Drosophila melanogaster: one gene and its partner. The protein of the gene in region 2 interacts with the protein of the main gene of each other region in a pairwise test. Each region holds a gene or a part of one and is shown on either strand. Other genes may lie near its edges.

Evidence for each region.
Region 1: the proteins of PI31 (region 2) and ntc interact in binary tests that used the Drosophila melanogaster proteins (3 or more experiments, as listed by UniProt).

The regions. Positions count from the first base shown.
Region 1 is NT_037436.4:3,803,282-3,808,512, forward strand, and holds ntc (nutcracker), read right to left. Parts: upstream 3,179-5,231; 5' UTR 2,679-3,178; coding exon 2,540-2,678; intron 1,484-2,539; coding exon 678-1,483; 3' UTR 551-677; downstream 1-550. Other genes in the region: IntS10 (integrator 10), read left to right, coding at 3,531-3,730, 3,784-4,828, 4,885-5,231. UniProt on the Drosophila melanogaster protein: Functions together with PI31 to control non-apoptotic caspase activation during sperm individualization. Positively regulates PI31 stability.
Region 2 is NT_033778.4:11,966,669-11,972,174, reverse strand, and holds PI31 (proteasome inhibitor 31 kDa), read left to right. Parts: upstream 1-2,059; 5' UTR 2,060-2,149; intron 2,150-3,324; exon of another isoform or gene 3,325-3,435; intron 3,436-3,520; exon of another isoform or gene 3,521-3,695; 5' UTR 3,696-3,723; coding exon 3,724-3,891; intron 3,892-3,943; coding exon 3,944-4,338; intron 4,339-4,395; coding exon 4,396-4,645; 3' UTR 4,646-4,832; downstream 4,833-5,506. Other genes in the region: ADD1 (ADD domain-containing protein 1), read right to left, coding at 1-450, 569-1,037, 1,100-1,193.

The DNA of each region.
Region 1 (5,231 bases), on a different chromosome or scaffold from region 2:
ACAGGTGGCGCGGACACGTGGACGCAACTCACCTGTAATATCACGATCGTAGAGGTAACTACTGGCACTGCTCTTGAGGCTAATGGAATCCAGGGGCGTGGCAGGTGGCTCAAAGATATCGAAGGAGTTGCAGGACTCAGCCGAGGGCGTCGGAGGATCCACAATTGTCCTTGCTGATGGAGCGGGTCGTATAAATGCATGCAATAAGGACACAATTTAAAGGATAATTTAAACACAAATATATGGTATTACTCTTACTCTTACTCTTACTAAAACATATGTAAAAAAACAAAACATAAGAAGCTTCAGTAATTTAAAACACCTTCCCCTGTTACTTAAAATCTATCTGAAAACTGAAGTGCTTAATTAATTGAATCACTTTCTCGAATTTACCTTTTCAATTGAAAAAATCCATGCCTTCCACCAAATAAAGCAAGGAATATTCCCTTTATCTTTGAGGATAGTTTATTGTAAAAATCCGTCTTAATATTTAAAACATTTCAGAGAATATAAAGAGACGTGTTGTATTTCAGCTCTTAACAAGGCATTTACTTGAATAAGCAAATATATTTATTGACATACAATGATTCCCGAGAATCTTTATGCACCACTTAATAATTTATTAATATAATAATATTTATAAAATCGCTTAAACCGGCTTCGATTAAAACAAGAGCTTAGCTTCTGCCGCCCTTTAGCCTTTTTCGCTCCACTTCCTTGCTGTAGAAATGAAGATGTCTATTGACCCTGGCCACCACATTTAGCTGGCTTTTGTCCAGATATCTGAAGATCTCGAAGTACAATTCGTCCGGGAGGCCCAATAGCGAGGGCTGTAGCTTCATCTCCATCTGCATTAGTTGCTGCGATCGCATGGGCTGGAACAAGTGCTGTTTCAGCTGATATGAGAGTTCATCCAGCTTCCGAAAGCGATGGTAGATGGGCTTGTTCTTCGCCTGAATATTCAGTACATAGCGTCCGATAGACAGGCTGACGCTGTAGCCAGGCTCCTTCGACGGAGGTGCTGGGGACAGGGTGATCATAAGCTGATCCCCCAGGCTGACGGCCATCAGCCGGCACTGAAGGGCAGCCACCAGAGAAGTCTCCTCGGGAGCATGCTTGTCCAATAGTGTTCTCAGTCGCATTATATAGACGGTGTCATTGAAGCACACTTCATATCTAGCTGGTTGTTCGCTCAGGATTCGCACATTCTGGGCGTGAAAGCTGCTAAATGATGGTACGGGTTGAATGAGGTGTCTCTTCTGGGCAAATGTCTCCTCCTCCACAAATCCGCATTCCAGGGCCACCAGGTAAGTCAACAAATGAAGCCACTCGGCAGCCGGCATTTTGCGACATTCCTGATACTGATTCAGTAGCTTATCCATATGCTGCGGCACCCATTCCAGAGTAGCATGCTCCAGGATCAACGGATTTGTCTCCTGGGTGCTCTTCTCTTGTATCAAACGTGGTCGCTGCTTTTTCCCCACTGCAACGAGTTTTATTTGTATTTATATTTAAACAGAATCTCGAGGATATGATTAGTGAAATTGTCTGTGCTGTTGGTTGGTTAGGAGAAGATTGAAAATTGCAGAAACAAACCTGCTATGTGCGGATTTCGGAAGCAACAACTCAAACCGGTAGTTATATACAATACATTTTGACACTACAAAATATAGAACACAGAAGTAAACTCAAAACTCCCGTTAAGACTTTAAGACTGATGTAGAACTTTAAATAAATTAAGTAAATTAACACTTGCATTCAAAAACAAATCACGAAAGAAATTGTAAATAAAATTATGTCTAACACGACATAAATATTTAATTCACTACTCAATTTGCTTTAAAATAAATTGTAAAATTAATCAAACTTAGAATTATTTTGTGTTTACATAATATATTTGATAAGACACTAGGTTAAACAAGTTGGAACTGAACAATTAAAACGGCTATTATTACAATAAATATAACGTCACATTTTTGAAGCAATTTACAAAATAATCAAACAGGTTTTTCGGAATTTATGTTACTTTTATTCGAAGGGGTTAACTTGATGATTCATCGAAGAGAGTCGCCGATCTTGGAATGAAAGTCTAAGGAACTTCATTCAAGTTAAGTGATTCAAGGTATGAGTAAATAGATATGCATAATTCGTGGATGAAAAACACATTGCTCTATAAACTAACAATAGAAACAGGTACAAATAAATTTGTTAAAAAAATATCTATAGAATGAGCAGATTGTTATTAGCATAATGCATGAATTAGTGTACGTTGTCTTGTTTATCATGATTTATGAGTATCTATTGTTAAGTGATATGTATTAAATAATGATTTCTATTATAGATTATGAATAACTTCTAGATATCAGTGATACTCTCAACTAAATATTAATATATACAATAATCGTATTTTTTAAGATTATTTTACGATATAGAATATGATAAGATACTAATGAACGATTGTTATTTGCAGGCCATTTATCAATTACATAGAGCGCTCTTAAGTAAGTTAGTAAGTTTCTATAAATATTACACAACTTACCCTGATCAGGAGCTTTAATGTCCTTTGTGCCGACCACTTGTTGCTCATTTTGCTGCTGTTGCGGCTGTTGTTGTTGTTGTTCGCCCGATGTCGTGGGAATGGCTATAAAGCCCTCAATTTCGGATTTAGTGTCTGACATTTCAGATATTTACGTACGAATTTTCTGGGAAACGATTTGATTTAAACTTTCAATGCGACTGTCATTGTTTGTTTTCGGAATGACAATCAGAAAATGGGGCATACTGCGATTTGTGCACTCAATTTTTATATTTAGTGCTATATAGTGGGACTGATTAACAAAAGGAGGGAATCGCAATTATATTACTTCGTTGATAAGCTGTGGCACTTAAGATTTAAACATATTTACAACAAATTGCGAATGTACAAATATCCAACGATTCTTATTCACGCAACAAAAACAAAGCGCAACGACGCATCGGCAGGTATTTTCTAGAAAACTTGGTTTGTCACAGATATTACATAAGCAGTCGCAATTGCCAGGTTCGTATGTATTTTGCTTAATATAGTTTTCGATTTTGTAGCCGCAAAAATCACAGAAAATTGAAAAATTCGCGAAAAAACAATTGGTTATTTAGCGAATAATCAGCTGGCTGGCAGCTACTATGCAACACTACTGCCGCTGCTGTTATCGATTGCAGATGAGGAGAGAGTCGCTTGTTAAGCTAGCTATATTCAAGCTGAAAATTAAATATCTTCGAATTCACCGAACATATATTGATATAAAAAGCGTTTTAGGTTGAAATGACTCAATAACGCCAGCCCTAATGTAACTAAAACAAGCGCACTATGCTAAACAAGCGTTTTGAAAATAATTGAAATCTCTAGCTAGTTTCTAGATCCAATAGTTCCCATCCCTAATAGAAAAATATGGCCAGTGCTAGTAAATAAATTCCTAATAGCCGGCTAAATGGTTTGTTTTTGTTGAAACTAGGAGAAAATTAATAAAAACAAAAGATATACCCGAAGAAACATGCCGAGCCAAGAGGAAAATGAGTTGTACATGGTCAAGGAGGCGCAAAGACTCCGGAAAAGCGATCCTTGCGCGGCCATGGCCTGGATTATCACAGCTAAAACTTTATATCCCAATGCATTCAACCTGCAATACGAGGCTTATCTACTGGAACGCGATGCTCAGAATTATGAGGAGGCAGCAAAGTGTTTCAGTGCTATGTGAGTATACAATAGCACATCTATTCCAGTTACTTTATCTTTTACTGTTCCAGAGCCACCAATTTCCAGAATCAACATACGGAGCTGTGGCAGGAGATCAACTCCCTAACAAATGCCCTCAGAAATGAGAATGAAACTACGCCGGAACACGAGTTCTATGTAAAAATGTACAAGCACCTAACTCCGGAAGTACAGCACAACATATTCATGCACACCATCAACCACAGTGCCGATAATCTGGAGCGCATCTATATCTACATACTGATGTTCAACAAGTTTCCCAAATCAGCCATAACTCAGGCTCCCAGGCTACTGGAAATGCTGGCGGAGGGCATGAAAACCGAACCGGATCTCTATCAGCGGATTCTGGTGGAGGAGGTATTGCCCATGATCCAGAATAAGCCCCCGGAACTTTCGCCAAATCTGGCCTGCAGACTTTATACCAGTTCCTTGGAGTTTTATTTGCGGCAAATAATGGATGAATCGGATACAGCAGATGCCTGGAAGAACATCTTTAAAGTGCTGATGATCTGCGGTCAGATGATGGGCTGGGAGCCCTTCCTGCCCTTCAGCAAGCATGTCAACCAGAACGTCTACTGGGAAAAGCTGGTGGACATACTTTCCGGCAGTCCTGCGGGCAGCTCCCAGGTTTTGTTCTACGCCACCACCTTGTTCATTTACTCCCTTCATGGTTATATACGAAATTGTAAGCTGAGGATCGAGGATGCCGATGTAACTCATGTTTTGGTAGAAGGATTCATGGAATGGTCGCCGGAAGGTGATGGCTCCGAAGTGCCCAGCATGGAGCCACCGAAATTCTCCCTGACCACGGCCATAAGTCCAGAGTTATCCAAGGCCTTCCTACACGCCGCCCAGTGCTGGCAGCTGCTCAATACGGATCAGTTCCAAAGGGATTTCAGTCAACTTATGCTGGCTCTTCCCTTGGCGCCTTGGATCTCAAGATTCCTCTTCGACTTGGCCATATATTTCGGACACCGGGATGAGGCCAACAAGCTTATGGCGGACATGACCACCCAGAGCAGTCTGGTGCAAAGCCTGCAGATCTTGAGCCTTAATCTAATGCAAGGCAGCATGACGGTAAGTAGAGAGCCAGTTTTTTCACATGGGTAAACCTTAATGAATTTCTCACACAGCTCCAGGGCTTCCAGTGCATTTTAAAGATCCTGTCAGAACTCCCCACCACCCAGGGTCAACTTTTGGAGAATATGTCGCTGAAGGGCCACAGGCACATGGTTTTTCTGCCCCTCACTCGATCAGCGTTGGTTCAGTACTGCGTGGGAGCCATCATCAGCAGACTGAGTCGCAAGGTCTTCGAACCGAACGTTCCAGATCGATTGCTAGGGGATATCCTAGTGCTGCAGCAACTTAATCTACTCAACGATGTTCTGCTCACTCAACAGATATTTAACCTGATCAAGCAACGGAAATCGTTCAATCTGCGCACCCTATCCACCTACATTATTAATATCGATTTGCTCGA
Region 2 (5,506 bases):
GGTGGCACTGATGAAGAACCACTTACGCTTCCGTTGCTGCCGCTGTTGCTGGAACTTTGTCCCGGTTGGTAGTTCTGTTGGACGGTGACAATCCTCGGAGTGGTGATATTTGCCGCTGTCACCGTCTGACGTCCAGTAGGCTTGGGCGTCACAGAGAGCTGGCAATCCGGCTCCAGCATGCTGAGCAGATCCGGTGTGCAGACCACTTCGTTGTTGGAAGCTTTAGCGCGCTTGGATGGTGGTCCCGGAGGAATGGTTTTTGGCATGGATCCCCGTTTACTCGAGCCCGCTGAGCTGCCCTGGCTGCGTTTGGAGACATTGGACTCCAAGCTTTCCATCGAGTCGGATAAGCTGCTGGTTTTCGACTTCGCCAAGCGACAGCAATTGCTGTTATCCTTAAGCATTTGACGTCGGGCCTCCACCTCGGGAAGCTGAAGGGTTTGTAGGGCCCTGCATTACATTAAATAAGAAAAGTCAATTTAGAAAGAGATTAATCACTATGATAAGTGAATGAATGAAAAGACTTAAAGATGCCATAAGCATAGACAAGTAGGACTAAAAACCGCACCTTTTCTGCGTCTGAAGATAGTTGACCAGCGCCCAGTGTTGGGCTCGTAGTGGCCACAGGATCTTGGAGGTGCAGCTGAAGCAGTTCCAGTTCTCGTTTTGCTCGATGTCCACGATGACGCCCTTGGAGAGGTTCTTCACGATGCACGACTTGCAGAAGACGTAGGGGCAAGTGGAGCAGCAGTATACCTCGCCGCCCTGTCCGCACCAGCGGCAGTACAGCTCAGAGCCATCCTCGCCCTTGGAGAACTCGCCGCTGTTGTAAAAATCGTGGCACTTGACGCAGTGCGTCACCCGCAGTATGGGATGCATCTTGATGTTGCTCTCGGCGGCGGGTGCTGTGCCCAGGTGAAGCTTGCACACGGTGCAGTGCACCTTTCGCTGGTTCACCAGATCTACGTTGGGGTACATCTTCAGGTAGAAGCGGCGCTCCTCGTCTGAAAGCGAGGGGTGCATCTCGAACTTGGAGCCTGCGTTGCGGGTATATGCAATTTATATGCAATTTTCCACTTGGCTGATGCCCAGTACTCACTCGTGAAATCCGCATCCAATTTGGCCAGTGGCGATGGCGACGGCGTCGCTACCTTTGCCAGGCCACTTTCGCTACCCGGAGCACTGTTACTCATGACTTCTGTTCCGTATCCGGGCCTCTTGGACTAGAGCACTGCGATCCGCACCAATTTTTGTTCTAAAACGCGAAAAATTCACGATTTTCTGCTGCCGCCGCAGAAAAAAGCGGCGCGCTTATCACTTTTATGTTTGGCAACACAATAACAACAGGGCTGCAAGGGACGCGTGTTTACAATTATTTATTAGTTGGGCAAACCGGGAAAAAATATTATTGGGAGATCCTGTACTGAATGCTTCGCAGCAAGTCTCCTCGAAAATGTGTCAGATTTTTTCACCCGAGAAAGACAGCTGAATATTCCGCATCAAATTCAATATGGCTGCCCCTTCGGGTTCCAGCCGAAGTAGGCTCTACGAAGTCTATATAACAAGTTCGGACCGATACTCTAAAATTTTCTTAGGAAAACATGGCTAAAATTTTGATCAAAAAGAATATTTCTTTTTTTTTGGCATCAGAGGATCATTAAATTAGCTATAATATCACTCTAATATCACAACATTTATTGTAAATTTTTTTTAATCATTTCTATCGTTTTAAAGGCTGATAAATATATTTTATATTTTAAAGAATGTTTTCGTATTCGTTAGTCTTTGCAAGCCTTGGCAACCCTAAACTTACTAGTCATCTCTTTTACACTCATCGTCCGTCCATAAGAATCCGAACGCGTTAAGAAAGAGACAGCATATATGTGTTATTTACGAAAAACAAGAATTTTTTAAACAAATCAATATTCCAAATTGCTTTATATTTTTAACGTTTTAATTTCTCCCGCATAAGAAATATTTGAGATATCTAAAGCATTTGGCGAACTGGTTCCAGGCAATCGATATATGTGAGACCGTATAAACATATCGAGTTAACAGAATTAGTAAATCATGACTTCACATAAAATCATTAAAACAAGTTTTCAGAACGCAACAACTGATCTTCAGACAACTTTTAAAAATAAATCAAGTAAGATTTTGGAAACATAAATTCCACAATGTCAAAATATCAGTAAAAATAACTTAAAGTAACTCGAATAACTTGAACGAGGAAATCTTAATGAATAGTTGATCAAAATAATCAGTCAGAAATAGGGAATTTTATAATTGTACACATATTAGTAAGTCGTAAGGTTTCGTATTATGAACATGTAGATGTTGTACTAAGCATTTCCTATTACTATTTTAAATATATAAATATATAAATAGACATTTATATATAAGAATTTCTTTATTACAAAGTCAATTGATAGTCGCTCATCGTTTCTATGTTACAATTACTGTTTACTTTTCTTGACTTCTTCAAAATATTTAAAATATGAACATATGGATCACATTAGAAATTTAATAAATCTTTTATGTCTGGTATTTACGATATAAGCAAATTTATAACTAGCCCGAAGCAAATTCTGAATCCTTTGAAATACCTTGACAATTATGTTGCTAGTATTAAGTTAATGTTTTTATTATTTATTTATATATTTTTATTAATGTTTGTTCTACTCTCACAAAATTTTGTATATTAAAAGATTTAATATATGAAATCTGTATCGATAACTATATCGATAAATCACATTGAGATATTAGAAAATTGAAAAAGGCAATAAATTTTTTCCAGTTTTAATAAATAGTGATGGGAAACTATCGATAGTTGCGCCATTCGATATTTTCGATGTTTGGAGAGCAAATTTTCGATATAACTTTAAAATAATAAAAATATTAGCAATTTTAAATGTTTTTCTCAAATAGGTATAGTTACCTTCCAATATTCTAGAGGATCTGTATTTTCCTCTGAGTACTTCGGATTAAAAAGCATTACAAAATTTTTCAATGTCCTACGAGATGGAAGCTTATATCGCGTATCAAATGCTTTCAGTATATCGCGAAATCCATTGTCCTCCACTACTGAAAATGTGCGCATATCAGTGGCTATGTACATACTTCATGATAACTCGCCGAGTTCTGCTATCCGACGAGAACTCGAGTCGTAGCTTGGAGTCACACATTAAAACTTTTCCACATTGTGAATATTTCGCGGTCTTACCATCAGTTGATTTAACAAAAATGAACAGCACTATCGATAGCGACAAAAAACCATCGATAGTGGCTCAGAAAAGTAAATATCCGATACCTCGATAATATCGATTATCCCAGCACTAGTTCTATTTTCACAAAGATGCAGCAATATTAACAAAGTCATTTATAATTTATTATTATTTAAACAATATAGATCCTTTTAAAAAACATTGAGCTAAGGTACGTCCAAAAGATTTAAAATAAAAATTGAGAATGTGGTGGTAACTTGCTAAAAACAACTTCTCGCTCTTTCCTCATTATTTTGTTTACAAAACTTTTAAAGCAAAGGTTGTCTTGGAAATTTATTCAGTATTTATACTTTCTGTAGTGGGCTTCAGATATTGAAACTGACGTCGCTCCAAGCAAACGAAATGTAAACATATTTATATATACTAAGCATAAATTAGAACGTTCCATTCGTTCTGTTTACTCCCACCCAGATTTTGTAAAGGATTATCGGTGGCCGCAATGGAAAGTGGGTCGACTGCCAAGACGGGCGATTTCTTTTACGGTTGGGATCTGCTGTACAAGACCGTTAAGGCTGATGTCTCCAAGAAGTCAGACCTTTTGATTGCCCTCGTCCATTTTCTTTTGACCAAGCATTACAACTTCCGATGCGTTGGCGTTGGCGATGATGTGAGTATGATTATGGCCACGCATATTAGTGAAATCATCTGGAATTCCATAGAAAACCTTGCCGGAGGAGGAGGGCAGTGAGCTGCTGCCGGACAGCTGGAATGATGACGATACCAAGTACTCGCTGCGCTACGTGCACGATAAGATGCTGTATTTGCTGCTGGGCCACATCACCGAGGGCTCCCTGCTGATCAACCTGTTGGACATCAACACTAAGAAGGTATCCAACATCTGCGTAGAACCAGAGACCCTGGTACCTGAGGTCAAGGGAGGCATCACCACCATAATGCCGAGTGCCTCAGAGATTGTTGAACGCTACCGTAGGGAGCTTCTAGACCCTGTATTCACGGGAAACTCGCGCGAAGTTACCACGCAGACGACCAACTCACCACGCCCCATTGGATCGGATCCAGATCCCTTGCGCATCGGCGAGCCAAGGCGTGGCGGGTAAGAACACTTGTGGATAGTTTTTTATACACTCGTTAATCGTTTCCCCTCGTTTAGATCCTTCATTCCAAGTGCATTCGAGCCTCGCCCTTTTGGATTTCCGGACGTTGGACGCGGGGATCTCGATCCACTGGGTCGCGGTGGTCATGGTAACCTGTTCAGCTTTCCATCACGCCCAAATATGGGCCCGGGACCCGTGCCCCGCTTCGACCCGTTCAATCCCCTGAACCCGAATAGGCCGGGACAGGGTGGAATCAATCCAGATCATATGCGCCCACCAGATTGGAATCCCGATTACTACATGTAATTACCAGGAATGCCATGTATAGTGAGCAATTCAAATCTTTAGTTTAAAGCAATGAAAAAAGTTTTCATTTTAGAAGACCAAAATTAAACGGATTGTTTTAAAAGATTATTTTTATTACGTTGCATACACAATACAGAATATTACAGAATTTTACAGATATAAAATAAAAAACAGCAGCCTGTTAGACAACGCTTGTTTGAGTTTTTACTAGAAAAATTCGTAGTTAAGAACATTTATCAAGTAAATACGCAAACAGGCCAGTTGAGTTGACGGCTGCTCAAGAGAAATTTACAATATACTTAAAAGCTTAACTGAACTCGTGATGTAATGGCTATTCATTCATTTCGTACAACAGGGTAAACAAAATTGGCTCAAGTGCGTAATCTCAAAATTGCTAGGGGAAAAGCGCGAAAAATCACGGCACTAAATGTTACAATGGTTTGCGATTACTCTTGTTTTTTTTGTTGCTGCTTATGCCTAGCCTAATATTATTTTACCATAATATTTTGCTAAATTAATATAATGTAAATAATATTTCAAGCTGTGTGCAGCCGGTTGACTTAAATTAGCTCTGCACGGTAGGCGTCGTTCCCTCTCACGCCGGGATGTGCAAGTGTTGTGGTGTGTTTTGTGCCTTGGCCGCTCAAAATCCGGCTAAAATCCCGCCCAGGTGCGGTGTGAACTACGCTCAGTCCCATTCCCCGATGAACATGCGTGGCGTGGGCACGTAGCCGCGCGTTGGCAGCGGTAAATGGCGTCCGTAGATGTGATTGTAGGGTGATTCAACAAGCTCCGAATCTACAAGAAGCACAGAAATCCGTGGTTAAAAATCGGGTGCGTGTACAATTGTCGGGATAATTA